Linked DNA regions of Alligator mississippiensis. The protein of the gene in region 4 interacts with the protein of the main gene of each other region in a pairwise test. Links are inferred from orthologs where the notes say so. Each region holds a gene or a part of one and is shown on either strand. Other genes may lie near its edges. The genes, in order: BAZ2B, ZNF750, TSHZ3 and CTBP2.

The links.
Region 1: the proteins of CTBP2 (region 4) and BAZ2B interact in binary tests that used the Homo sapiens proteins (3 or more experiments, as listed by UniProt). The two-hybrid records come from large-scale screens. The link is inferred for Alligator mississippiensis from reciprocal best matches to the Homo sapiens genes CTBP2 and BAZ2B.
Region 2: the proteins of CTBP2 (region 4) and ZNF750 interact in binary tests that used the Homo sapiens proteins (3 or more experiments, as listed by UniProt). The link is inferred for Alligator mississippiensis from reciprocal best matches to the Homo sapiens genes CTBP2 and ZNF750.
Region 3: the proteins of CTBP2 (region 4) and TSHZ3 interact in binary tests that used the Homo sapiens proteins (3 or more experiments, as listed by UniProt). The two-hybrid records come from large-scale screens. The link is inferred for Alligator mississippiensis from reciprocal best matches to the Homo sapiens genes CTBP2 and TSHZ3.

What each region holds. Positions count from the first base shown.
Region 1 is NC_081827.1:221,309,273-221,316,756, reverse strand, and holds the start of BAZ2B (bromodomain adjacent to zinc finger domain protein 2B), read right to left. Parts: upstream 3,004-7,484; 5' UTR 2,104-3,003; intron 1,930-2,103; exon of another isoform or gene 1,854-1,929; intron 1-1,853. UniProt on the Homo sapiens protein: Regulatory subunit of the ATP-dependent BRF-1 and BRF-5 ISWI chromatin remodeling complexes, which form ordered nucleosome arrays on chromatin and facilitate access to DNA during DNA-templated processes such as DNA replication, transcription, and repair.
Region 2 is NC_081831.1:17,148,110-17,155,540, forward strand, and holds the start of ZNF750 (zinc finger protein 750), read right to left. Parts: upstream 3,008-7,431; 5' UTR 2,800-3,007; intron 1-2,799. UniProt on the Homo sapiens protein: Transcription factor involved in epidermis differentiation. Required for terminal epidermal differentiation: acts downstream of p63/TP63 and activates expression of late epidermal differentiation genes.
Region 3 is NC_081833.1:58,808,074-58,815,061, reverse strand, and holds the start of TSHZ3 (teashirt homolog 3), read left to right. Parts: upstream 1-3,980; 5' UTR 3,981-4,066; intron 4,067-4,247; exon of another isoform or gene 4,248-4,344; intron 4,345-4,473; exon of another isoform or gene 4,474-4,743; 5' UTR 4,744-4,938; coding exon of another isoform or gene 4,939-4,978; intron 4,979-6,988. UniProt on the Homo sapiens protein: Transcriptional regulator involved in developmental processes. Functions in association with APBB1, SET and HDAC factors as a transcriptional repressor, that inhibits the expression of CASP4.
Region 4 is NC_081829.1:82,165,129-82,173,054, reverse strand, and holds the start of CTBP2 (C-terminal-binding protein 2), read right to left. Parts: upstream 3,002-7,926; 5' UTR 2,721-3,001; intron 1-2,720. UniProt on the Homo sapiens protein: Corepressor targeting diverse transcription regulators. Functions in brown adipose tissue (BAT) differentiation. Isoform 2 probably acts as a scaffold for specialized synapses.

The DNA.
Region 1 (7,484 bases), on a different chromosome or scaffold from region 4:
TGAAAATGGTTTCAAATACAAATACAATTTGCTTGATGTTGCCTGGAAATTGTTCATGTAGCATTGTGACAAAAATGTGCGCACGGTTTACAATAGGTGCGAGACATCAAATATACTTAACTACCATTTTCTTAAACTGCTAATCCTCTGTTGCTCACCATTTATAATCTGCCAAATCTTCCAGGCCTTTGTTGCATGTATAATTTAGAACCATCTGTTCTACGTGCTTTTAACTATTTAAACATTTTCATCTACCTAAGATTCACATAACTGGCAGACATTTAATTCAGCTAGGCTTTCTAAAGCATTTTTAAAGAACATGCTAAGGTGAGCAGCTGACATTTATTAACATAAAAACCTACTTTCTATGCAACCATAAAAATATGTTAAATATATCATTCAATTTTGAGTTTGCTAAAAAACATCTTGATGTACTAGAAGTGTTCCTGTTAGTCTCTATGTTAATTGTAAAGAATGTTTTTACCAACCCTGAAGACAAAGGGAATGCAAATTAAACACAGACAGTTTCATGTTCTTGTTAGCATGACTGTAAATATGTAAAAAGTAAAACTGATGCAGGAAAAGGAATTAAAATATAACATTCTATTTATGGTACTTATTATTTATCAAGTAGTCAGGGTTTGCCTAAGTTTTGCCATGTGACCAAGAGAACTTCTATGAGATGAAGAGCATCACTGAGAAGTAATTTAAAAGAACAATACCTTTTATTGTTTCCCTTTTTGCAACAGCTGACACGAGAGCTGAGAGCCAGAGGTAATCGGTATTAAGAAAAATTCAATTTAGCATGCCAACTACATTTTGCTAGCCACAGAATCCAGCATCTGTAATATCCTCTGAAGTACATGTAATATCTACAGGTACTTTCCAAAAGGAAATGTTTAGCCAGCACTACATTAAAAGAGTTTATTTGTTGCAAATATATATCTGAGCAATGAGCACTTAAAAAAAAAAAAAAAAAGCATATTTCCCAGCCCCCCCCCCCCCAAACCAGAGGCCAGGCACTCGCTACTTCGGGAAAAAACTGGACTGAACATCTTGTGCAAATTTCAGTAAGAGGTGCAGGTAACCGCTTGTAAATAGTAGCATGGCTGATCCCCGCATGATGTACTAGTTCATGTTGTGCCACAACTCTGGTTTTTTAAAGGGCTACATTAATATTTCTGTGCAAAAGGCCGCAAAAATGGAATAAAAGTGAGAGTCACGCAAAGATATTCCTCCACCTGTTACCAAAAAAAAACCAAACAAACCCCACAGTGGAGGAGGAGGCGCCTTCCTTGCAGCCCCGGAGTCGGCGGAGTCGGACCCACGACCAACCTGTGCACGTCAAGTGCGGCCGCCCCGCGCGCCGGGGAGCCCGCCCTGGGCACCGCGCCGGGCTCCTGGAAAAATGCCCCTCCAACTTCAGGTGACGTCACAGTCGGGCCCTGGACCCGCCTCAACTTTGCGCCTTCCCCGCGGCTCCCGCAGCCGCTGCCCCGCGCCCCGCACACCACAGCGCAGCGCAGCACAGCACAGCCGCGCCGGGCCACCCAAATTTGCCCAAGATGGCGAAAGGCTTGTTGTTTAGAGGGCAGAAAAATGGAGGATATTGTAATATACACAAAGGGATAAATTTCAACAACTCGGCCAAGGGCTGCAGCCGCTTCTGGCTCTGCGCGAGGGAGCCGGGCGCGCACAAAGGAGAGCGGCAGGGCGGGAGCCGCCTCGCCTCGCCTCGCCGCCCCGCTCCTCTCTGCTCGGCTCGGCGGAGCTCGGGGCAGCTCCCCCGGCCCGGCCCGGCCGGCTGCATCCCCTAGGAAGGGCCGGGCCGGCGCGGAGCCGGCTCCTCTTACCTTCCCGCCGCCCTCAGCCCGCACAAAGCGGCGACCCCGGCGGAGGCAGCGCCGCCCGCCCGCAGCCATGCATAAAGTTTACAGCGGGGCCCCTGGCAGGGCGGCAGCCGCGCCGCTCCCCCCCACCCCCGCGCAACAAAGCGGGGCGGCGGCCGGGACCCCTCGGCCGGGCCGGGCCGGGCCGGGCACAGGGCTGGGGGGGGTGGGCGGGCGCGCCCCCACCCGCGCGCCGCGGGCGGCTGCCACTCACCTTGGCGGCTGGCAGAGCTGCCCTTTGCCAGGTGCGGGTGGGCGGGCTGCCCACCGCTCCGAGAAGCGCCGGGGCGGGCTGGGGGTGCGGGTGCGGCCGCCTCGCCCTCGCCCTCGCCCTCGCCCCTGCTAGCAGCGCCCGCGCGGAGCTGCTGCTCTCCTCGAGGTTTATTCAGCCTCCCTTGCAGGCGAAGGCTTCGCGAACCAAAAGTGACGTCAACCGAGAAGGCTCTTCTCGCTCCAACAATGAAAGTTGCTGTTAACGAGGGGCAAAAAGAGAGAGGCTTGTTTATCTCGCTCCAGCCCCGGTAATAAATGACCTATCAGCCCCTGCAAGAAGCGGGGGGAAGCGCTGCATTCCTGCTCCCCCCGTGCACGCACGCTCGGGCAAGGGGCTCTGGGCTAGGGAAAGTTGCAGAAAAGTTGGTGTGTTTTAAAAAGCCCAACGCATTTTGATATCCGCTCGGGAGGATCTGAAGGCAGCTAACGTACACAGGGAGGCGAAGGCACAGCACCTGAAACGTCCTGAACGATGGCTTATGCTCTGCTCGAGACTGAACCATGTAGCTCTCCTACATCCCCAGAAGATCTCGGGGTGCAAGTGGCAGCCTGCTACCAAAGCACCAGGAGTCCATGTAGTGAGAGACCAAACACATCAGAAAGTCATACTGGATGCGGTGGTCAGGTCTCGCAAAAGAAACACAGTGCAAATGGAAACAAATTCAACAAAATAGAAAAAAAAATAAAAAATACAAGGTGTATAAATATTCATATGTTCAAAAAGAACTATTTGCTAAAGTTGTTGGGTTTTTTTTAAGTGCTTTGCGCTATGTCTGGAAATATTAGCATTTTATTTTGTCTACTGGAAATTCCTGCCCTGGCTGAAACAACTGAGTTAATAGATTCTTTTGTAGAAGAGCAGCAAAAATACTTGCACCTCCCTACTCTAACCCTTTAAACTACACACGTGGTTTCGCGCGCTCTCTCTCTCTCTCTCTCTCTCTCTCTCTCTCTCTCTCTCTCTCTCTCTCTCTTCCCCCCCCTGGCAAAGAGTCAAGCAAGGCCGGGGTTAAAGTACACAAAAAACAAAGAATTGCTTCCTCCAGACTATAAAGATAAAGATTTTAAGTTATAATAAAATCCCACACAGAAGGTAGAAAAAGAAATTAAAAACTCTTTTCACTGTGGTGTCTCCTATAAAGCATCTCTTATTTAAAAAATACAGTGTCTGACTGCTTCACAATTAACACTACAGAAAATCATTTGATATTCTAAAAATCATTTCAAAATTACGTCTAAATGTAGCTGCTTGAAACATAAAGAAATATGTATATGTAGAGAGATGCCATTGTTTTGTGTTTCTTCTTCAGCCACTGGCTGTGATTTTAATTGTGCTGGAGGATCTTCATTAGTATTAACACATGGGGAGATTTCACAAAGCTGCTTCATTAGAAAAAAAAAAGCTTGGCAGACTAGGTCTTTTTGCATGCAATGAGAATGTCAGCCTTACCTCGGTCATTTGTAACATAATAAGTGCAAGCACAATGATTGCAATGCAGGAACATTGGGGGAAGGGCAAAAATACTGCCTGTCTAATAGGGATATGTGAAAAGAAAGCTGCTCTCATTACACAGTAAAATGTATGCTAAAAATTAGTGAAGATGATGTCTCAAGAGACTGATGCTAAATAAATTAATGTGCTGATATGTTTTTAATTATTATTTTTGTACTAGTTTATTTCATTCCCAGGATTCACATCCAGCAGCAAAGCTTTGCTAGCATTTATTGATTTTTTCACTGCCACATTCCCGGAATACAGATTTTAATCATTTCACTACACCACACTCAGTAATTTCATTAAAAACTGGAACCTTCCATCCCCAGAAAAGCATTTAATTTCAATGACACACAATTTCTCTTAGTAGCAAACTGTCTCAACAGTAAAAGCTGGCCTAAGGTTCAAATGCATAATTTAATCCCGAGTTCTCCATGCTCTGCATTCCTTTGAAGCTATAATTTGACTAACTACCTAATAACTGTAATAAGGACAATGATTTCCTTATAATATGTTATTAACCCATATTTAATTAACTCAGAGGCCAAGCTCTGTACATGTTTGATTGGGTCAGTACTTCTCTAACCTCAAAATTTACTAATAATGTTCTTGAAGAAAAATGTGGGATAAGAATTTAAGTCTGGATACAATAAAAGAGATGTTTCACTCCTAATGTTATTCATCAAAAACTCATATATTTTCTAAGACAACAAATATTATCACTCTAGAGATAATAGAATTTTAAAACACATGGAAATAAACAATGGATTTAGACAACTCAATATAAAATGTACTTGCTGTGATGCAGGTATTTAATATATCTCTTCCATTAGCATGTGATATAAATCCTAATATCTATTATTATTAGCACAACTGCAAAGAATGATTCACTTAGAATTTTTAGTATGCCAAAACATCAAGACAAAGCAGAACACTGGTATTTTGTGATGTTAGCTATCTCAACTTTTTCTAGTGCCCATAGCCATAGAATTGAAACATTTTGAATACAGAACCTTACTTTCTATGCCATATTTCTTCTGTTCAAATAAAGTTTAGCAAAATATTCATGTTTGAGCCATTGGGAATTATTTGTTGTTGAAGATTTAAACAGGGCACTTCATAAAGTTCTGGAATGCTAAGTACTGAGTTTGGCTTTAATTAGCTGTTTAAAAGATTATTAGGTCACTAGATAGTACTTTGTATTCTACAGCAAAATGTGTTTCATAAAGCAGTGATAGCTCACCTGTGGTAAGAATTGTCACAAGAAAAAAAGTTTTACTAGTGTAAACACTTCACTAGTTTCATAAAAGTATTAGAAATTCTTTTAATTTGCTTACTTAATGGAAGCTGTTGTTATAGGATCTATTGATGCATTCAAAATGATTAAGTATTAAATCAAAAAGGTTCATAGCTTAAAAATTTGGCCGGTTTTCCCAAGGCAGTATTTAAACTTTAGGTCTCAATAAAAATATATGCAAACTGAAACTCTACCACATATACAATAAAAATAAGACTAGTTTCTTCTGCTTGTTTGCTTGTATGACTCATTAATAACAAAAATGCAGGAGCCTTAACATCCTTTTTAGGTTCCAAATTTCAGTTCATTTGAAAAAAGCAAAACAGCATCTCAGAACACTGGGGTTTTTTTAGTCCCCTTTGCCTTTCTACATGCTCATTAACTTTATCATCAATAATTCTTTAGATACTTGCATCATAAATTTATGCAAAATTGAAAATGGTCACAAACTTCATTGGAAACAACAACTAAAAGACAGTAATGCAGCAATCCAAGACTCCAGTACTGTGAACACTTAGACAAAAATGTAACTTTACACCTTTGAGTAACCCTATTGAATTAACTGGGACTATTTGCATGCTTAAAGATAAGGGCATGCATCAGTGTTTGAAAGGTCAGGGCCAGATGCTTCAATGAAACTACTTACATGAATTAAGTTATACCCACACCTAGACATTCCCAGTTCTACAATGAGCTTTGACGGTGGAGACCCTTGCACCCACATAGCACTCCGGTGAAGACAAAGATTTCAGTGAGGCTGGACATGGGTGTAACAGTCTGCTCATCAACAATTCACTGCAGAGGTCAGGACCTATACTTTTGATAGCATTGGCCTATTCCCAGAGTGCACAATGATGTTCCAAAGCATATAGGTCTAGTACTAATTTTTTTTTTTAATTTTGACATGTAGTAAGGTTCAGTAAAGAATCATAAACAACAACAACAAAAAACCCTTTCTGAAATGTTGATAATTGCTGGCAATACCTGAGAAAAGGGATAGAAGCATTAATATGAAAAGCATGCATTAATAAAAAAAGGTTGATTTAATAAAATACTAAATATTTAATTCAATTATAATGTGGAACCTATATTTTAAAACATTATGTTTAAACATAATAGTACAGTGGAAACCAGTTGAAAAGTACAGCCTCTCTGTGTTCAGAAAATTTACTCTGGGTTTAAAGGGTTTATTCTTATCACAGATACTTGTTGGCACAGCAGAGCTTATGCTATCACTCTCTGAGTGCTATTTATACAGTTTAACATGTCTAAGTATTCCTGGCTTTATGCTTTTACACCCCTATTTTATGTTGTCACCCTAGAGTAGTCAGATGAATTAGAATCTACTTTTCACTATAATCAAAGAGTTTAGAAAGACACAAAGCCAGGGAATCTTTACAAACACAATGCAGTTTACATACAGTGTAAAGCATAACATTAATAGCTTTGCAGCTGGATTGATGTGTTGTTGATCATTGTGAATTGCTGGCTCTGAGGAATTCTGGTTTCATTGCTAGAGATCAATCTGTTGCTGCCCCTCCTCTGAAGCAAATTTTGTTGGAGTGATGCAAACAGTGATTCTCTAGCTGCCAAACACCCTAACTTGCCAAGTGGGAAGATAGGACCCAAGGGTCAAAAAAGGAATCTCCAAAGAATCAGAACAGATCTGGATTCCAACTTTTCATGTAAGACCAAACACTAGAAAAGTTGCCTCCAAGGCATAAAATAAATCTCATCCATAGTGGCCAAGATTATTAAAGATATCTTCAATTAACACAGTAAACATGCAGTACTCAGTTGTGCTGCCAGAAGATCAGTCATTCTCAGTGTGGATGCTGCAGTACCCTGGGTGCCACGAGAACCTTTCAGGGGGTGCCACAGCATGGATGCTGACACCACTTTCACTGCCTCCACTGCTAGTATAATTGGGTGCAACTGCCCCATATGCCTTGTGCAGAACCAGACCAGGAAGATCTGCTGTCTGCATTGAGATAATCTGATAAGCCTAAAGCAGGCAGGAGCACCTGCTCTTGTCACAGCCCTTCCCAGTCCAACAGTGCATGGCATCTCCCATGGTTAGGTCCATTTAAATGTAACACCTGCACCTATAGGGCCATAAAGGACTATGAAACTATGTTATTTATGTACATGCTAAACTTTTGATTTTGTAATGTAATTTAAATCAATATTATCTAGTATCTTGCAGTAGTTAGGCACTATATAAAAATGCAACAAGATACTGTCTGTCCCCAAGAGCTTAACACCCTGTCTGTTTTCTAAAAAGTCTGTGGAAAAATCATGTTCTGCTTATATGTCCAGCCCTGTGAGCCCTTGTGTCAGTCTAGTCTCTAGCAGAAATTTGGTCCACATTTATTTTATGTGGTTTCTTTGGTTGAAACTACTACAACTCTAACAGTGGTAACACTGTGTACTGCTGTTTTAACTGGTAATACACTGTACCATTGTGTGTAACTTTGTTTGATCTCCTTATGTGGATGGGCCAAGCCACATTAAAACCCGGCAGGAGATC
Region 2 (7,431 bases), on a different chromosome or scaffold from region 4:
TCTGTAATAAGTTTACTGTATTTGATTTTTGACTAATGATGTATAACTAAAGTTGGGGGCTTGTAATAGACTTGGTTAAGTCAGTTTGTACTAGTTCTTCTTTGAGCTTTCTTGAGAGTACAGGCACTAATTGTGTTGGAAGAGAGACTGTTGTCAAAATAAGCTATTCAATGTGTTCTAAGATGCCATATTTTATTATAAATAATGTTAGTTATTTTTATTTTTTTATAGAGTCTCTTTGCTTAATAGTATAAGATCCTGTGTGCATCTTCCTCCATGCTGTTAAAAAGAAATAATTGAAATAATATTTTGAACTATGATATTTTGAACATACAAATGGATTTTTGCACTTTGAAAGCTAAGCACTTGTGTAATAGGAGTGGTGAATTAATTTCTTTGCTTTGTGTTTATTAAGGAAAGACAGCTAAAAAAGTTTTACAAGATTTTTTTAAAGTTTTTTAATTTTACCTAAATGCTATTCTTACTCATCAAAACTACAGGCAGCAGTGCAAACTGAAGCAGCTGTCCTTATTTCATAGGCAAAGAATAAGCAGATCATTACCTGAGCTGTTTACCTCTCTTAATTTTGAGCTAGTATCTACCAGCTCAATTATCCTATCCCCTCTTCTTTGTTGGTTGTGCACCCCCGAGTTGTTCTAACTGACCTTCATCCCATTGGCTGAAAATACCAGTAATAACATGCTTCTAGTCCAGGAAAGACAAAATTTCAGTTCCAGTCTCCAAGAAAAACATAACAGTATCTACAGATACGTATTTACATCAAAATTTAATTATTTGATCACACAAATACCATTAGGAATAACAGGAGATGGTTTAAAAAAATAGTTGCAAGCTCTTAAAAAACAATAAAAACACCATATATATAGGAAGCATTAATTTCTTTATGGTTGTACTATATATGGCTGTTGCTGAGAAAGTAAAAGCTAAACTGTTAACACTAATGGTTCTGAAGTTTTCATGAGTGAAAAAAAATCGTCTTCCTTTTAAAATCCTGAATAATATGATGGTATATTATCTGAAAATCATTATAATCTTCCATAACAATGTTATAACGTTAAATACTTAAGTATTTTACACTTCATTTCATTTGTACTTTGACTGTTTGATTTTAAATATTCAGATAATTATACTTATTTTATAAATATCCTAAATGCCCTTTCCTGGCTTCCAACTGTACTAATGTTTTACTTGAAAATAGGATATTCAGTTACTGTTGGTTAAATAGAACAGAAGCGCTCTTAGCTGTTTGTGTACTGCTTGTCTACCTTTGTCTTGCTGTATTGTATTAGGCTGTCTTTTTTGCATAACTGCCCTCCCCCGCTTTAGCCTGAATGTGCATAGTTTCGGTTGGCCACAGGTTTTCTTCGTCTCATTTATAAACATGCAAAACTGTTGCCAGACCTTTCTTTTTGTAGTATGTTAGCCAGTCCTTAAATTAAGAATACTGTAAATTTGCATGTGTTAGTTAAAGTTCAGAGTAATCTAGATTTTTTTTAAGAAGTCTTATCTACTAAAGTGGTAGTTTCAGAATTTCTTTTATTACAAACATGGGTGATAATTATAATCTCTCTTTATAGGGCATTGCTATGACAGACTGTGCAAGTGTTGTGCAGGCTTTGTTATTGTTGCAGTATTCCTTATGGTGATGTTGATTTCTCTGAGCAGGAGTACTTATTGGGGTGGAACATTTTGAAGGGCACGCTGTAATTAAAATATTGTGATGTGGCATTATTGCATAACTCAAGGACATGCCATTGTCACCTAACAGGTGTGTTGCAAGAACAAGATTTGTGAGTTTTATTCCAGTTAAGATTTTCCAGTGATTAACTACCACTCCCTCTTAAACTTTCAGGGGTTTTAAACTTAAAAATAATTTTTAGCAAAACTATTCAAAGACTGATAGAAAACATGGGCAAGAGGGTGGGATGAGAGTTAGAATGAGATAAGAGATATTGGGTGGAGGGTGGAGAAAAAAGAATCACAGTTGCACAAATAACTCAGCTTAGTAGTACAAGTTAGTAACCAAACTTTGTAGAAAACAAATTTAATTGACATTTCTAACAACTTTAAAATGTTAATGGATCAAAGACAAAGCTAATCTTATATCATTAATCTTTCTATAAGTCAGAGATGCATGTTTAAAATGAAGATTATTCCATTTTGTATGTAAAGTCAATGCATTTTAAGTTATATCAGTGATTGATTACAAACGGTTGCAATTTCTAATACCTTACTGAGCTTATGTGCTGAAAGGGAGAAAATATACAACAGTTGCCTAATTTATTATTTTGTATACATTTTTAGATTAATCAAGTGTTACATTTTGAGAGAAAGTCAGCAGGGTATTATTTAGTAACTATAACTTGCACAATGTATCTAATGCTCATGATTTTTTGTGCTGTTTTACATTATAGTGGAGGTAAGATGTTAACAACTGGTTTGAACAGCTGCTTAACATATTTTTATCAGAAAAGTTAACACAATGTGAAAAGTTAGTCTCAGGAGGGAAGCTGGGTGGGGATGGCAGGTGAAAGAGGGAGAAAGATATTTATTCTCTTTCTCATAAAGTATCAGTTTGTCTTGTTGGAGCTTTCTGACAGAAGCCTTAACTCTACGATAAGTTCACCTGCTAGAAGTAGTTACCCTACACACTGGAGTTAGTTAAAAAAAAAAAAAAAGTGCTAGCTGCTGATGAGCGAATACATTTGATTACTTTTTAGATGTCAGTTTCATTACTATCATTCTTAAATTACTTTTATTAAAAAAAAAAGTACTTACTAGTTAAATAGATGGATGAAATGTTGAAGGTGATCCCTGTGGCTAAGCTGTAGCTGTCAGTGCTGAGAGAGAAGTACCTGTTCTCTGCTTGATTTCTAAGTGAAACTGAAGGAGGCTGTTTCAGTGGGAGGGATTTAAAAAAGTGTAGGAGTTGAGCCCTCAGGGTGTAGAGATGCACCTGATATTACTCCAGCCTGAAGCTACGATTCATTTGTTTGCATCCACCGCTTTGATTCAGCAGCATCTGAGCTATCAGACAAAACTCTTGTCACTTTTATGCCCTCCAACAAGCAAGTTTCTCTGTTCCTGCACTGTCATGTTTGTGCTACTGAGTAGTAGTAGTCTCCTGTTTAAGCTGGGTAGAACATTGTGACAGATGTGTTTTGCTGAAGATGTTTTAAATCAGTTTTAAGTGGGACACATCCTAATGACTTAAGTGGCTTGTAAACAGTAGGAGAAATTACATGTATAGTGGAGCAAACTACAACAAATCCAGCAATATTTTACTTGTGTTTAATTTTATAAAATCCATAGTCTTGCCTGAATGCCTTTGCTATTTAACATGCTTGCTTATTTTTTGTCTTCACTTCTACTGAGATCTTTTTTTGTCCTTCACGAGTCTCCACTCTGGCTGAGGCGGGACAGAACTAACTTCAAGCCTGCTTGCTACAGGAACCTGCCAAAGCTTGCCTATAATCAACAGCCAAATGCACGGATACTGTAAATGAAAAGGAGTCACCTCAGCAGGAAATTGATTATTGCATTCACACTTTCTCTCCTCTGCAGGCCAGCCTGACAACTGTTGAGCAAACAGATTACCTCCTCTTGGTTATCTGCTTTTAGTTAGATTTTATAAATATGACAAATGTATTACTGCATTCTCCAGATTTAAACTAGACATCTAAAAGTTTTCTTTGCAACACTATTAAATAAGGAAATAAAATTCTTGTATGACTTATCCCCTTTTAAAAACGTTATTATGCCTCTTATTTTCTCTGAAATAAGTTCCTCAATTAAACTTATAAGTTTTTCAGTCAGAACGGAGGTTTAGGAGAATAAGAGCTGGATATAGGTGGAATCTATTTGTAAAAAGAAAAGTGAAAGAGCTTTCTCTATGCATTTTGGTTTTGTATGTGAATTATGTTAAAAAATGTTGATTTTAACCACTTAGTTTCAGGCTGGATACTAATATTTTGTGTCAGTCTTTCCTCCCGCCCTAGCATCATGGTTGTTGATTTTTGAGAGTTTATTTTGGGATGAGAATAGTGGATGTATTGTGTCAAAAGCCACAGTGTAGGTTTCTGAATGAATTTGAGTATTGTGATCTGTTGTCCAGATATCCCTCTGTCAAGAGTGCTATTATTTCAGATCTCTACAATAGGAATATGGAGACAAATTAGTTCTGTATGTGCTATTTCTTAGTCTGCAGTCCATATTAAACACTAGCATATGCAGGCAGGACTCTGGGAATATGCCTCTACACCAGCAACTATGTTGGTCCTTCATTTGTTGTCTAAATTCTGAGTCCAGGTGAGCTAGCAATCTGAATTGAAATCTCCTATGGATTAAATTGGAAATGATCCATATGGAATAAAGGTACAAGTCATCTTTAAGTAAGGGAAAAAGTTATAGCGGGCCAGGTATAAGGAGGATGTGGTAGAAGCTTCTCGCTGCATGAATTCTGAGTAGAGGCACAAGACTGGATGATAGCAGACTTCAGACGACTCTTATACCTACAGGTAATCCTTCACAAAGCAAGTTTGAAACTTCTCAGCACGTCATTTTGGGTTATCCATGCAATAAAACTGAATTTGTTGTACTAAATGGGAATAAATACAGGGGTTCAATTTCTGATACTGTTAGTAAGTAATCTTTTGCCAGAATCAAATGATGTACATTTGCAGAAAATATATTGAGTGTATTGACCTAAAAAAAGTTTTTTATGTGTTTTTCTAGACTCTTCTGTGTAGGTAGACTTCTCTTTCTTGCTACTGAATAACAAAGAATGCATTCAGAATGCCTTATGACTATAGGGGATATGCTCCCTATGTTTCAAAATAGTAAAGGTAACAACATGAAAAACAAAGGGGAGAATTTAATTTTACTTTATGCTGTAATGTCTTTTGCCCAGGGATGGACTTCCTTTTTGCTGCTACATCTGACACAATCAGTTGCTGACTCTTATTTAGTCCTTGGGTGGTACTGCAACATAAGGAAATCATTTAAGGAACAACAACTAACAGTATTTTGTATGTAATATAAAACCACATAAAAATATGATTTAATACTGTATATAAAGGTATGATCCCTTGTGTGATTATTTTGCTTAGAAAAGGGATAGAGTCCAGCCTATTTGAGGTAGCGATGTGATGTGAAACATTAGGCCCCAAGAAAAGGTTATTTAAAAGTCGGGAATTTCACCATTTTTTAGGGCTGCATATGCATCTTAATAGATGTGTTTATGTGTAGATGTCTCTATTTTCTATTCACATTTGCATGCACCACCTCCTTTTCCTTTTGCAGTTGCATGACATCTCTGTGACAATTAGAGATTAGACAATTTCTTATTTGGAGAGCTTATGTTAGGAAAAGTGTGTGCTTGTGTTTGTTTTCAAAGTTTTCCTGTTTGCAGTTTATCAGTTGGGAACAGAGAACCAGTGCCTTGTTACTGTTGAGATCTTCCTTGAGCCAAAGGTCATAGAGGGTATTTATACTCCTCCAGTTTCCTCCTCAGTTGTGTAAAATTTTGGAAGATAATCTTTTGGATTACCAGCTATGCAATATTCCTTATCCTTTCTCTGAAGGTCATAGAGGATATTTATACTCCTCCAGCTTCCTCCTCGGTTGTGTACAGTTTTGGAAGATAATCTTTTGGGTTACCAACTATGTAATATTCCTAATCCATTCTTTCAAGATAGTTACAGTGAAATCAGATATGAATAATGTACTTAACTTTGTTTCTTGAAAGTGTGCATTCTAGTTTGTTGCTTCTATCCCTTCTCCAGGTTATGGAGGACACCATTTTATGTTTTTTTCCCCCTTTTCATTCCATTAACAGAAAGCTGCCTGTTTGATTCTTGAGAAACTGTCATAGATTTCCTTGTTTAGGATCAGATAAAATTGTCCTTGGGATATTTCAGAAGTTCTTGAAAGGGTTGTTAATACAGGGGGCATTTACTGAGTTGAGACAGAAGGGCAATTCATTTTAAGATCTGTTGTTTTATTTTACTTTCGTCTCTTGACTGAGTCTAAGGCAGGCAGTAAAGTAGTTCCTCTTGCTGCCTGGGTCTAGGTATAATATGGTGCTTATTAAATAGTAGCCATGCCCTGGAAGTGTCTCTTATTAAGCAGATTGGCCAATTCAGCTATGGCTGAAGTAGAGCTGCAGAAGGGGAAAGCTTAGCAAACTATGGAGGCATTATGGGTTTGGTTGAATTATATAAAAACCTGAAATACTAACTCATGGGATAGATTCCCTAGTAGAACTGATGGCATAGGATAGCTCCTGTATACTAAGACCTAGTAAAAGCTAGTAATCAATATCTATTTTCTATTAATTCATCATACTTGCATCTAATATTATTAGGTAAATCTAATACAGTTTGACATCCTTTAAATGTGGGTGAGCACAAGAGTCTATTAAAATGAAACGATCTCCAGAATTAATATAACGCTGTTTATTACTGAGTTGTTTTATTATGATTTTAATGTCTTTTCTTTCTGCAGAAAGATGGAATTATAGCTCCAAGTCCTTTCCCTTTTTAGGGTACAGAGAAAATTATTTCAGTTAATCTGAAATGGAATTTAGAACAGACTTAACAATGTTAAATAGGTATTTAATGGAGGTAATTGGGGTTCATTGATAGTTTATAGTAATTAACCTTTCTTTGAGGTGTCTATGTTTCCTGGTGTTGGTGTTTTCTCTGTGCATAAGATTAGGTAGCTAATGATTATGTTTTTTAATTTAGCCCTTTGTAGCTAATTTGAGAAACATCACTTTCCCTTCCTATGTTTTTATGTGAAAAAACTTTGGGCTGCCTTCATTAAAAAAAAATCTAAGGAAGTTGACACAGCAAAGAGTTGAACATTATGTTTTTCACCTTTCTGGATTGCTTCCATTTTATAACCCTACCCCAAGGTCTTGCATCTCTTTGGGCAGTTCTCTCCCTATGGTAATTGCTGGCTTTACTAGCTTCCTTATAGCACTGTTTAAGGAGGAGTTTCACAACTCAGTTTGCTCTGGACCTAACAAATCAACTGTTAAATAATTTTTGGTTCTGCCTCTGCTAAGGTTGTCAGCTTTAAAAAAAAATCAGTCAAACTGGCTGTATTTTAATATTGGATCAGTCTCTGTTTTAGTTGAATATCTTACCCTGCTAGCTCAAAGCTTCATGTCTAGGACTCTGTTTTCTTATATCTGCAGACTCTTGAGATGCAGATTAGTATTCACTGGTTCAGTGTCCATATCAGCATGGTTGAATTACATTACCTAAGACCAAACCCAGAATAGTGCAGTTTTATTTGAATCAGTCTTATTGTGCCCCAAAACATTGAACCTTACCATTTCTAATTCCTGGTTTTTGGAGAGACATCTGGGTAGATTATCTGTACAGTCTTTGTGAGCTGTTTGTC
Region 3 (6,988 bases), on a different chromosome or scaffold from region 4:
GGCCTAAGCAGTAATGTGCGACCCTTCTTAGATGCTTTAATTCGCTGTCCCTAATGACATTCAACTTGTGAAGACCAGGTCAGTTAGGGTTGGTTCTTTTGCCTTTATTTAAAGAATGAAGCAGCCCAAATTAGCCTGGTATTAACAAGGAGGATGTTACTCGGAGTAAATGGAAAACATCCAAAGAGCAAGCAATTTACACCTCGTGTTTGAACCTCCGAAAGCAATCAACCAATAATAACAAATCAATCTCTGCAAGGGACTACACACACGCACATACACCTAGACACACACTTCTGCCCTCTTGATTCCTAATGAAGGAGTGCCCAGCTTTAACACTTTGCTTAAGGGAGGAAAAAGGAAACAGAAATAGCATGTAACATGTTACTTTCTGAAAGTCATTTTCTTCTCCAGCAGCTCTTTTAAGTTTAATGAAGTTGAATATTGATCTCCCTCGTTTATTAGCATAACTAATAGTTTATTTCAATGGGCTTTTTATCGGGTCAGTATGCTACCCCCCCCTTCTTTGATTCCTGTTTAACGGACTTGTTTCTCATACCTCAGTCTTTCCTACAGGAAAATGAAATGATCAGAGAAAATAGGCAGCAAAGAAGGCCATCAAATGAAAACGTCCAGCTATAGCATTCCTAAGAGATGTAAAGTTCAGAAGTGGCGGTTATCTAATTATGGAACTTTTCTTAGAAATAATAGTATCTTTATTAAACCTCCGGAAAGAGCTAGCTTAGGGCTGAGCCTTATGTGCTTGCTGAGTCCTTGTGGTTGTAGCCTGTAGAGTCATCGATTTTATGCATCGTGTTTGTAAGTGTTACACTTAATAAAATTACGGGTTCTGCTCTTCTGTAATAACCTGTGACCCCAAAATAAGCTGACGCACTTTATAGAATCTACATTTTAGGCTGTAATTCGTCTGATAGAAAGTTCAATAGCTGTTTCTTCCTTTAAATCGAGAGAGTTAATATACCAAATTACCCTACAACTTGCTGGCTGTTTTGGCAGTTTGTGCAATGCGTGGGTCTATACACATATGTCGATACGTATGTATCTATTCTCTCTCACATGACTTACTGTTTCTACTTGACCTGGGAAAAGTCCACCGACTACTGTTTCCAAAAAGTTTAGCTTCCAACGTTAAAAAAGGACTGATCTCCAAACGGCCCGTTTTTACTAGATTATTACCCCTCTAATGCCATAAATTGCTATTGGCCCTTCTAAAGAAAGGGTGAACTTGTAAATATTTTAAAACAAACCTCAATATATAGCACTTGCTCTGGTTTTCTTATAAATGTCTCTCTTAAGTGACATCGCTTAGCTTCTGCTGTTGCAGTTTGCTGGCATCTTCCAAACATTTGTGTATTTATGCCTGAGTGAAAGCCGTTCTGTGATCTCTGCTTTGTTAAAATATAGATGTTACTGAATTAATAAATGCATGCATATGTGTAGAGAAGAGTACAACTTGAACAGGAAAAAAAAATGTCAGCACACACATACACCCAGTCAGAGTCTTTAGAGGCGAAGAAAGTAAAAGTAACTGCGATCTTGCAGAACCGCAGTACATAAAAGACATTAACCCTTTTCTCTGCATAAGCTTTTTCGAGTCCTTGATCCATCATCCAGGACCCTCAGCCATGTACCGTGTAGTCAAAGCAATAAGGCTCTATTACATCATGCACATTTTATGCAATGATTGCAATCTGTGAATTTGGTGAAAGATGAACAGAGTTGGGAAATAAGAAACTCCTTGGTACTTGCAGAAAATAGTGATTGGCCACTACAGCCCTTGGTTCAGGGTGCTCTGGTGCCAACTAATAAAGAATCCAAGTATTTTCTGAATTACAGGGTGGATCTTTCACATCTAAAAATAGCATGAAAAGAAAAAAAAACCCTATACTTCTACTTCCTTTTTTAATTTCTTTAGCGTTTTTAATTCATGCTTTAAATGTTGCTAATCTTAATCCCCCCCTCCCCCCAATGAAGTAGTCGGTAGTGCTTCTCTCCAATTCAGGAGTATAGTGCCTGTGAAAGTTTGCTGTAGCCTCTCACGTTGCAAAGCTATGTGAAATACTCCATCCTGTATAGTGTCTGTTGCAGAACTTCATTTGCCTTGGCTTGCAGTCATTTAAAACTGCAGTTTATATATTACTCAATCTCTCTGCTTTATTTGATACAGATTTAGCGGTTTCCCCTGAAGAAATAGAAAATGCATCTGGTCTAAGTGCTTAACACGCTGATCCTGCCCATTCCTGCAGTCCGTCTGCACTGCCTTTGGCAAATCATGTATCCTTTAGGATTATGCTAAATTATTTAGGTTTCCTATTTCCTAATTTTAATATAAAGAGGAAGGGGGAGAAAAAAAGGGAGAATGAGTTATTAATTAAAGCCTAGTCCTCTATGTTTCCCGAGCCTGCCTAACATTTGTAAATACTTATGCCGCGGCTGATCCACTCCTTCCTGGTTAAGTTGTTTAGTATGTTAGTTATTTGTATTGAATCACAGGCTATGTTATGTCTGATGTGTTGTCGTTGCAATGTGCAGTCAGTGTGACACTGATGGATGCGCCAATGGTTAGACGGACAGATGTTAGGGCGGATCTAACGGCATGCAATGCCATAGCAGCAGAGAGAGAGAGAGAGAGGGAGAGGGGGAGTGGGAGAGAGAGGGAGACTGGGCTAAAAACATCCCGATTCAGTGAAAGTCGCTTATTTCTGGTGCAAACAACGCAGTCACACACACATTCACACACACACACACACACACACACGCAAGCACACACACACAGGATTTTGGGGGGAGTGGGGTAACGCTTCAGTGTAGTCTTAAGCAATGTGATCGCTGCTTCTGCGAGCAGAGACTGTAACTGTGAGAAGAAACCAGCAAGTATCAATGAAATGGAAACTGAGCGAATTTGGCAGCAGAAGCGGCATTTGACAACTCACCATGATCTTGTTTTCAAGACATATTTCGTTTTCCCCCAACAGTAGCAATTTCCCGGGGACTTTAGGCGACTGCGATTTTTTTTTTTCATCCTAAAGACCAGCTTTTTTTTTTTTCTCCCAATCAACTCCTAACCACCACCATCACAACAATCTATATCTATATAGATAGATAGATATGTAACTTCTCCACCCTGTCATGAACGTCCTGCAACTTGAAAAGAAAAAGCAAGAGCAAAAAAACAACGTCAAGGCGGCTGCAGGAGACGTGGAGACGCAACAACATCTGCACTGAGTCAGGTATTTGGAATTATCCCAAATCTTGAAGAATGGGGGCGAGTGGAGATTTTTTTTTTTTTGATCTTACCGTCCAAATGAGATCATCCTTTTTTTCCTCCCTGTGAACTTTAAAAAAAAAAGGAAAAGAAAGAAGAAAAAAAAGAAAGAAAAGAGGGGAAATTATTTGCTACTGGTGTTTGCTTCACTTCTCTTAAGTAAAGAAGGCATCTGGGACTTAAGGCGATTGGCTGCGATCTGCTGAAGCTGTCATTACATATCTATCAGCCACACAAAGGACGAGAGGAGGGGGGAGGAGGAGAGGGGGGAAAAAAAGAAAAGAAAAGAAAAGAAAAAGAAAGTGCAAGTGGGAGCCAGGAAGGTGTTTGGCAATCGCTGCTGCTCCATGTTCGTCAAGCACTTGAAACACTGCTCGAGTCCATCCCCTCTTTTTTTTTTCCGCCGCACATTATTGCAGCCCAGGAAGACACAATCAAACTCGCAGCGCATCGATTCGCTAAACCCGGGATTTCACCAATGAACTTGGACCAAAAAAATTAAAAAAAAATAAAAAGTGATCTTCAAAAAAAAAAAAAAAGCAACAAAAAACCCAAACAAACCCCAACAAAAAACAACCACCCAAGAGTTGGTGCGTGCATGGTGCGTGCGGGAATCGCGGCCCCCTGCCAGCGAGCCAGCGCCGCGGGCCGAAGGGATTGGGGCGCCTCGGCGAGGTGAGCGGAGCGGAGCAGAGCGGCCCCGCGGTGCCCGGCGGGGGCGGCCGCGCGGGGCTGGATGTGCGCTCGCGCCTGCCAGCTCCCCCGAAGCCGGGCGCGGCGGTAAGTTGGGCGGGAGGAGGGAGGGGAAGAGAGGAAAGGAAGGAAGGAAGAGGTGGGTTGGGTTGGGTTGGGTTGGGGGGGAGCAACTCCCCTGCGCGGGGAGGAGAGTTTGTTTTTAAATCCTCCTCCTCCTCCTCCTGGCGCCGCGGCCCAGGGCAGCCCCGGGAGGCTCCGGGGGCGGGAGGCAGGGAAGGAGCGGCCGGGCTGCGGCTCCCCCGCCCCGGCCTGGCGTGACGGATGCGCTGTCACCTGGAGCCGCGGCCGCGCACGGGGGCGAGGTGCGGGGCCGGGGCCGGGGCCGGGGCCGGGAAGTTGCAGGGGAGCGGGAGGCGGCGGAGCGCGGTGCCCCTCTCCCTTCCCCGCCGACTAGTTGGAGTGACACTGCGATCGTCTCGTTTCCCTTCAAGCTGTGCCTGTTGCCGCCGCCGCGCCAGCGCCAGCGCCGAGCAGGGAGCCGGAGGCAGAGCGGGAGGAGCGCGGACTGAAGCTGGGCCGGCTCCTGCCGAGACACCCCCCCGCTTTATGCCGTGATCTCCGCGCCCGGCCGGGCACGGGGTGCGGGCGGGGCGGCGGCGCTGCGGGCTCTCCCCAGCCCTCCCGCTCACACACCTCTTCGGGGGGCTCCCCCTCCTCCTTCCTCCGGGCCGATTTGTCAAACTTCCCCCCTCTTCTGCCAGCAGCAGCAGCAGCAGCAGCAGCAGGGCTGTCCTCTCCTCTGTGCCGCCTCCTCCGCCTCCTCCTCCTCCTCCTCCTTCTCGGCATCGCGTATGCCCAGCCACACACCAAATCTCTCCCCAGCCCGAGCCTGGAACAGCTCACCGGATCTGTGGGGCTAGAGCAACTCTTCCCGGCCGCCGCCGCCGCCGCTCAGCATGCCGAGGAGGAAGCAGCAAGCGCCCCGGCGCGCAGCAGGTACGAGAGCCGCCTTCTTCCCTCGGTCTCCTCCGCAGCCGCTTGCCAGCGGGCAGAGCCACTTGGGCTGGCGCTCGGCTCCCGCCCGGCCCGGCCCGCCCCGCTCCCCGGCATCGCACGCTGCCCGCCGCGGATTTTGCGGAGTAACTCTTGGTCTGGCAGACGCAGCACTTTGCCTGGGCGCTTCTCTCCTTCCGGGGGGGAGGGGGGCACCCTAGTCCCTTTCCTACTTCGGTGCCGACTTCCCGGCTCCCCCATTCCCCCCCGGGTCTGGGGACCAAGCTTGTGAAGGGCAGGGATGCGGCTCTCTCTCTCTCTCTCTCTGTGAACAGCGTGTGTAGCTTTTCTATGGGAAGGAAGGAAGCAAGGAAGGGAGATGTGCTGCCCATTTCCACCCCCTACTTTGGCACCTACTTTGCTTTTTCTTTCTCTTATTTGTTATTCAGTCTCCACCTCCTCCTCTCACATCCATGCAGTTTTGTGGAAGCCAGCCATCCTCTTGTTTTCCTTCCTTTCTTTCTTTCTTTCTGCAGGAAAGACCTTGTAGGGATACGTGGGGGGTATTTGTGTGGTGCCAGGGACTGAAGATGTGCATTGTTGCTTTAACATCAAAGCCCAGGCTAGGCTCCTTCCCTCAAGTTTCTCTCTTTCCCCCTCTTCCTCTCGTACTGCGCTGGGGACCTCTCCAGCGCACTTCCACATCCCCCTACTTGGTCACTTTCTTTGGCAACCTCTTGTCCTAATCCCATTGATTTCTCATTTCTGAGCCCAAGCTGAGGAGCTGCACAGGAAACCAAAGCGAAAGAGTCTGTGTGTTGTCAGATGACTGGCAAGTGTCTTTGATGCTGATTTTTACATTCTCCTCCATTTTTAAAGAAATACTTTACTGGGCTTTGTCTGGGCTTTACTCTTGTGTTTGGTTGTGTTTTCCTGATGCCAGAAGTGTCAACTCCTGTTAAACACGAACAGCATTTTCTGGAAAAGCCAAATTGAAAAGCAAAAAGTAAAAGGAAAAAAAAAATGTTACAATAATCTTTACCTGGGGATATGTGGGCTGGAAAAGGGTTTCCTTGGCCTGTTGCCATCCTTGATTTGATGGCTGATTGATCACCTGTCATCTGGCTGCCTTTGATCTATTCATTCCCGATAAACATCAATAAATCACTTGCCATGGTAACGCCAGACTCAGTGACGTCACATGTGGCCTGTCAACTCTCTGTCAGTGCAACTTTAGGGGCTTCTGGCTAGATGTGTGACATGCTGGGAATCACAGGGGCGAGTATTTTGGTGGGAATATTTAGATATGTAGAAATACAGGGCCTGTTTTCATTAGCGTAACAATTTGGGGAACCAGTAAGTGAAGCTTGAAGCATTCATAATTCTCACTTTAGGAGAGACCCATATGCAGTGCATGGATGGATGTGGGAGTTTTCCAAATGGTGTAGTAGTATTTTTAAGCAGTTCATTTAGGAGTGCATACTATAACTTAAATAAGGTAATCCTGCTACTTAACAGAGTATTGCCAAAAGCAGTGCTTTCAAAAAGCTGTGTGTACGTTCTAACAATATGACAAGTTCTCAAAGGGCCATAGTTTGAATTTAGTAAGAAGCAAGTAACACAACGAGTAACCGAATGTAAAGAACTCTGTCCGCATTTCATTCCCCACATCCCTTGATACCTATGTGAGCTGAACACTTTTTTTTTAAATAGAAGAAACCGTATGTTTTGCAGTAGATTGTGTAATCGTCGTCTTCTTCTGATAGTTGGAAAGTTTGCTAAGTTTTTTTTTTTCTTTTTTTTTTTTTGGAAGTGCAGTATTTATAAGATCTAGGAAATGCTACTGTAGCAAAATAATTTGCTTGAGCATTTTGACTTTCTATCCAGTGCCATCAATAAGGACAGTCTTCAAATGTGTTGAAAACTTTTGTCCTTTCAAAATACCTTGTAACAGCTAGGTTGTAACCTTAATTTACTTGCATGAAAATCAAGTTCTGCGAAGTTGAGCATATC
Region 4 (7,926 bases):
GTCATTCTATGTGAGGTATCCTATTCAGCTGAACCTCATGGATTCTAAATAGCATATGCCATAAAGAAAACTGGCTTTAAAAGCTTTGAGGTTTGATTGTAAAAGGGAAAAATGGGATTTTTTACTCTATAGAGCTTTGCAATAACCCTGCTCTCTGTACTAACAAACTACGTAATTCCTAAATTCTTTGTCCAAAAAAAAAAAAAAAAGTATTGTGCTCTTATTTCAAACCATGTACATATTTTCCCTTCTCACTAGATGAACTATACTTATTCAGTTTTAGGAATGATTTGGATCCTAAATTTTAAAAGTAAGATTGTATACTCAGTGATGATAAAAGGAAGTAAAATCAACCAAGTAACTGAGTGCACTTTTTTTTTGTTTTTTTTTTTTACTGCCTTATACATACATCTGTGTTGGCTAAGCCCCCACCTCACTAATGACTAACAGGTGTGTTTTTGCAAAAGCTTTCAAAAATAAAAACCTCCTTTCTAAAAAATACTGTCCGGCACTAACAATACCAGGTCTTCACTGAAAATTTCAAATATTAATAGGCTGTTCTATATTAGCATTTATATTCACTTCAAAACTGTTCTTCTGGTAAGTTTGGTAATACCAAATAAAAATCCAGCTTTTAAAACCAGAATACTGTGTATGACCACCCATTATTTGGCCAACCCAGTGAAGACTAAAGACAAATCAGCTTTATGATACTAAAAGATTACAACACACACACTCATGACATTATTACAAATAAAATTTTTACTGGCGTATGCGTAATTGAAATGTCTCTGATACAACAATCACCTCTGCATTCATAAACGCCTCATAGTATTCTGAACACACACTGCTATAATGAGACTGTCTTCAATTTTGCTTGTTAAAAGGACCTTTAAAGAATGCTAAAGCAGGTCATCACCTTTATGTGAAGAAAACAGTAACAAAAATATTCTGTCGCTGGATATACTGTCTGTCATGTATTTTATTCACTGTCCTTAAATAAACTAAGCTCTAAATATCTGCAATAACCACACTTTTATACCTACTGGTAAACTGCCCCTTTTCGAGAAATAAGTGGTCACTAAAACTAATCGGCAGTAGACATCCTTTATTCTACTGAAAGGTAATTAACCATTACCAAAAATATATGATTAGCAGGTATACAATATCAATCAATGCATTACAGAACTGTAAATGCTTATTTCTTTTGTTTGGTCACGTTATACTTGATCAAGTGTGAATGATTAAAGTGGTTTAATTGGGGCTACATGCATTCATTGGTGGCATGCACCTTCAATGGCAATTATAAGCACATTTGAAAGAAGTGACTTTTCCTGTATTACTTTGAAATCTTCATCTCCTTACACTTTCCTCCTTTACATAATAAAGAGAACACCTCAGCATCAGGCAGGGTATCAAACATTAAGCCACAGCCAGGGTTTACCTTAGGAGTGCAATCTTGATTGAAAGACAAAAGACTACTCCACACGCAGTTAGTTCTTGTTAAAAGAATAAGCTCTTTCAGACCAAATTATACCGCGTAACGAGCTTTAAACCAACACGCTTTAGCGCTGCCACTCTGAAAATGCTCAGAGAAACGTAATTTTGCTTTTGTTGGTGTGATGGGAACAAATACGAAAGTCCAGAGCATGCAAGTAACAATTCTGCATCCTGCAAGGGGGTGGGCAAAACAATAATAGCTGGAAGAGTATTTTACAGCACAGAGATGCGAATCAATGAAGGGAGAGATTTAGTTGCAGCCACCACACACGAGGGGGGGGAAGAAAAATACCCCCCCAAACCAGGAGTTAAGGTGATTCCACCAGCAGGTAAATCTTCCTGTGCAGCGGGACAAGGGGGATTGCTCTCTTGGAAATCAGCAGTGGAAAACAGCCGCTCAACTTTGCTAAACACGGGCTTAGTGAAAAAGCACTAGATTTCTCTTCCAACACAGCCTGGAGGAGATGCCTGGGGAGGGTGCGGGGTGCTGTCACACACAAATCTCTACTGTAGCCAGAGGAGTTGCTAAGTGACTGGCTGCATCTTCATTTTTTTTTTTTTTTTTTTTTGCAGGGCCTGTGTATCCATGAGGGGCGACTCGTGGCCCTGGGCTGCATTTCCAGCCCCCCTCCCTCAGCACTGCGAAGGGGGAGGGCGGCCGGCACGGCCTGCACCGCGGAGCTGCCAGCGCCTGCCTTCCCGGACACGCCTGCCCTGGGAGGGAGCCTCCCCCTGGCCGCTCGGCCAGCGCCGCCGGCCCCTCCGCGCCCAGCGCTGAGGAATAATGCGAGCACAACAACTCTGCCCATTGTTCGCGCCAGGACGGCTCCCAACTTTCCCATTGTTGCTGCAAGTGCGGCGGGAAGTGCCGCGGACGGGAGCAAACCCCGGGGCGAGGGAGGGAAGATGGGATGGGATGGGAAGGAGAGAAGCCGCCCCTTCCCCTTCGCCTTCCCCCTGCCTCCTCCCGGCCGAGACTTTGGCAGCCCGCGCTAATCCTCCGGCAGATGCTGCCCCTCGCCCAGCCAACAATGCGCGCCCGGCACAACAAAAGGCTCCCGCTCCCCTCGGCCCGGGGGCAGCTGCAAACTTCTCCCGCCTCCCGCCGAACAAAAAGCCAAGGGGGAGGCGGCCAAAGATGTCCTCGGATTATTTGTGGCCCCCCCCGCAACCCCGGCCCCCCAAGCCCCGCAGCCGCAGCGCCGCAGCCGCAGCCCTACCTCGTGCTCGGATCCGCGGGCAGCGCCGGCCCCGCGCTCAGCGCTGCATCGCCCCGCGGGGCTCCGGCTGCCGGAGATCCACCTTAAAATGACACACACGCACCGCACAAAAACTTAATCCCCCCCTTTGCCTCCTCCTCCGCCTCCGCCTCCTCCCGCCCCGGGGAAGGCGCTGGGCGGGCGGCAGGAGGAGGATGCTGCCGCTGCCAATTGCAACTTGGAGCTGCAGGGTGGGGGAGAAAACGAGCGGGGGGCAGCGCTCGCCTCGCCTCGCCTCTCCTCTCCTCTCCTCCCCGCTCGCTCCCTTCTTCTTCTTCTTCTTCTTCTCCTTTTTTTTTTTTTTTTTTTTGGCAAGAGGCGGGGTCTCCTCCTTGCAAACCAATGACACAAACCCACATGCACCGGCCTCGCCCCCTACAGATACTCCTCACTACAAATAGGCTCTCTCCGGGGATTAGTGGATCAGCTAAAGTACAAACAGACGCAGCAAGGAAGAAAGAGGAGGGGAGGAAGGAGGAAGGGAGAGGAAGGGGGCTCCCCTGCCCTCCCACCTCCGCCACTGGCACATCAAGTTGGAAACTGCAAGGGAGTGGGCGATGCCGCCCTCCCCACGCCCCTGGTGTGCCCGCTCCCCTGCCCTGGCCCTTTGCGGCCTGCAGCGGACATGGCCAGGCTCTTCATCCCTGGGAGACCGAGGGCCTGGCAGGCAGCCCCCTGGAGCAGAAGCCTCTGCGCTCCCTGCAAAGGGGGATTCGGGGGCACGTTCAGCTGCATTCGGTTATTGCTTCTTGGCCTCTTGAAGGCTCAGATCAAGCATAGCAGTTGCTTAACCTGGCAGGGGAAATAATACTCTGTGTGTGTGTGTGTGTCCAAGAAGGCAGTTTTCCTGAACCCCCTGGCAGCAGAGCTGCTCTCCTGGCATGGTTCGGTACCAGTTTATGGAGATGGGAGTCTCCTCCCTTACTTGTTCCTAGGGCAAGCAAAAGTCAGGGGCATCCGAACCCCAAGCCTGCAAGTAGGATGCCTGCCAAAGGTTTCGGAAACATCTAAAACCCCAGGTGCGGGTGGAGGATGTTTGCAGGTAGCAGTGCCACTTATGGTTTTGGATTTGGAATTAGTTTTGGCTAATTTGGCCTCAGATGCAAATTATATTAAAAAAAATTGACTTTGACCAATTGTAGCCACTCCACTGAGGCATAAGTGTGGCCTGGCACTGGGCCACTGTGGTGGGATACTGGGGTGCTGAGGCAGCCCATGTGTGTTGGTTGCATGCACCTCAGCAGTGACCCCAGGGAAGCTGGTGAAGGGTGCAAGGCCTAAGACACAGCAGGAGCACCACAACCAGGTGTGCATTGTCACAACAGCCGTGCAGGACTCACCACTGGTTTTGTCAGCATCGCAGTGAAATATGTGCCTGACGGTACATGAAGCTGTAACGGGCTTCTCATGCTTGTTTTAAGATATTAGTCTGCAAAATACACGTAAGGTTTTCCGTAATGAGCACTGCAGCCAGCACTGCTCAGGTCTAGGCCATGCGCGTGAAGTCCATGTTACCCCTGGAAACCCCTCAGAGTCATCAATGTTTCTTTCCACCTAAGATCATTTGAGTGTGTCACACATTTGTTGCTCCATACAGAGCAGATGTAATTTGAAATTGATGGGGGGGCACTTAGGATAAAGGCCACCAGACATGCTGAGCCCCTTCTGTTGACATCTTAAATAGAAAGGGGTTGGCGCATGCACGCCCACTGAGCACCAAATTTGATATGAATATCATATAATCACGTTGTGGTTTTTGGCTGAATGGGAGATAACAAAAACACTCAAACAGGCATTTAGTTGTATTCTGCGTTACACCTTATATTTTGGGGAATTAAGGTTTTGACAGACATTCATCATTTGCTTATCACAAGGATGTGGGCAGGTGGTGATCTTATCTTTTTGTTATATAACTGCTGGGCTTTCCATATCATATGTAATCCAATCATATAGAATTTCAATCCTAGTGGAAAAAACAGATTCCTTTTCTAGTCAAATAAAAACCTTGAACCAGACCATTTATCCATCGAAATTCATAAGGATACTTTGATTTTCATCTCAGGAATTACAAGGTAAACGTATAAAATGCTTCTCATCAGTAAACTGTAGGTTCTTTTTAGGTTTCAACATCGTACCCATTACCAGGATTCAAACCACCTGATGCTGAGAACCAAGACCTCATTCCTGCGACCACTTGAATGTGTTACTAACCCTAGTTCAGCAGAATTACCCATGGTGTTAAGCATTTGGAGGGTCAAGGTCCATGTTTGTATGCAAATGACAGTTTACTCACTTGGGAGTAGTAGTTTATTTACAGCTTTCACAAAAATGCTACAAGGAATCTCATAGGTATATTTGCACTATTTTTACAAAGAATAATAACTAAAATCAAATACAATTCCCTGTTTCTAATTTTTTATTCCACTATTTTATATTGCATAATTTTATTTCTTTTATGTATCATCATATATCATGTTCAGTTTTACTTGTGTTTAAATTAGTAGGAAGTATGATTTTATTGCATGCTTTTACCAATTGCAACAAATCGTGTAATTTTATTATTATATCATTTTGTTGTTAATTCTATTGTTATTTTAGTGAAAGCTGGAAATAAACTACTGCTGTTGGCAGTTATGAAAAGAATTGGGAAATCATGCCATGAGCCAAAGATTCAAAATTACACTGGCTCCAACTACATGCCTCAGGACAGATTTTAGCAAAATACAACTTCTGACCCAGTTCCCTGCCTTAGACGTTTTGCTCTGGGAAAGTTCCATGAAGAGAAAGCTCTAGCACTCTAGAACAGTATTTTATAGTGACCATCAAATACATCTCAGGTCTTTTCACTGTTAATAATTCTGCTGGCAATCAAAAATATTAAGGGTAGATCATCAGCTAGCGTAAACTGTCCCACAATGGTGCTATGACAGCTTACACCAGCTGAGCATCTGCCTGCTGTATTTTAACAATTTTTTTTCAACCATACTCACCATCTTGTTTTGCTTTCTCTCACTGCTAATTCATGTGTGTTTGTATTCGTTTGCACAAAACCATCCATGCAATCTATGGTGCTGCAGGAATCAACAATAATATAATTCAGAATAAATAATGTTGAGTTTATGAAATAAATGTGGTTGGTAACATATGCTGAGGTCATAAACACAAAATAGTTATTTCACTGGAAGAGCAATTAGATGCCAGGTTGTAAGAAAGAAAGCTCTTATGAAAACACGTATCTTCAAAATTAAGAAGGGAAATATGGGAAACATCAGGTGAAGTCAATTATTTTTTCCACAAATTACTTCTTGTTACTAGTACACATTTTTCAGATTTTCCAAATATGAAAGAATTTTGGGGAAAAAGATATCTGTCCAGATCCAAGAAGAGCTTTATGTTCCTGAAGTGGGATTTATGCAGAATTCAAATGCCTAAGTTCAAGCTGCAGTATTGAAGGCCCCTATTCTGGATGAGCCTAGATACTTGAGGTTTCTTATATTTTTACAGTAAAGTTTCCCAGCTCCCAAGAGTTTTGCATTTGTGCATGCCCAGAATTTCCCCATCTTGACATGACTTTACTGGTCAGCACTTAGCTCATGCCTCAACCTGAACAGAAACCCTGAACCTGAGCAGGCCACCGTCTAAAATTCCCGAGAGGCTCAACCCAGTAGGCATTCCTAGATTAAACCTAGCACATGGCAACAGGATCAGGCTTCTCAAAAAACAGTAGCTGGCTGTTCTGATATTTTATCTAAAAACCCATTTGATGTAAAATAATTGAAACTGGAAAAGTGCCCTAGCCCAGTGGTTCTCAGCCTTTTTAGACTCATGGCACCCCTCATCAAACACACGGCAGCCTTTGGAAAATATCAGTTTTTAGCTCATTGTTTGGAGCCTATGGAAAAATAATAGAGCAATTCTTCTGTTGCAAAGAACTCAGACCATAGCAGCTAAGAAATGCTTTTGACACAATGGATTCCTATTTGAAATCTCTGGGTTTATCTTGGGTATCATGTAGGTTCACACACCTAACAGTACTAACACTACCTGGCACACTGTGGCACCCTTTAAAGGCTTCAAAACATACCTGAAGGCACCTATACACATGCTCGATTAATTGAGTCTGCTGGAGCGTTTTAATCAGGAAGCTCCAGCATGCTGCAGTGTCTCATGCATTCTGCATCCCAGCATTTCAAAATGGCAGGGAGGGCGCTTTAACTAAAGCTTGTTAAAGTGGCTCCCAAGAAGTGTTCAAATTATGGTGGGGCTTGTGGGGAGGAGTGGGGGCTTAGCACCCCTATAAGAGACAGGAGCCCCCTGGTAAGCTTTGAAAATCATAATCTGGGGGGGTCTCTGATTTTATTAGGGCACCATGATGGGCAACCCAATTTTTTTTGTAGACCCCCCCCAAGATTGCAAGTGTAATTCAAACCCTGCTCCCAAGAGCCGTTCTAATTAAAATGCCCCCCACATCCCCTACCCCACCCTAGAGCAGGTGTAAAAATGCCCTGAGTGCTGTATCACCCTCACTGAGAATCATTGCTTTAGCAACATCATCTTCTGTTCTTCCTCCAAGTGTGCTCTAAAAAAATGAACAAGCCCTCAGTTCTTCACAAAAAAACATGTCTATACCCAGAAGAAAGTTCAGCACTGTAGATCCTGAGTGGTCAGCTAGACAGCTCCCTGCAGCCCTGAATAAAGTGCTTGCTGGGCAAGATTTAGGACTTGGTCCTGTCATCCATGTTTGCCCATTGGCCAGCTCAAGATAAGTGGTGCCCCAATCAGCATTTTGGCTGGTTTGGATCCTGTACTGAGATGTCCAGCCTCCCCTTTCATCCCTGCCCCCTGAACAGGAAGACCGTAGACTCCCAAGATGAGGTTCTAAAGTTCCGTTGTGCGATGCACACAGCCATTTTATCTGATCTGGCCCACAGTATTTATGAATTTAAAAAAAAAATCTTACAAAATAAATTCAGGATCAAATGTAGGGTGCAGAATCTGCTAAAATTATTCCAAAGTGTTTGTTTATGCAGGGATCAATTATAAAATGGGAATGTGTCTTTAAAAATGTTAAGAGAAGAAGAAACAAAAGGGCTCCTTTATTCCAGTATAGTGTATAACCCAGATTAGAAGAGTTGTTTTACCAAAAGTATGGTCTTAAACCAGTCTT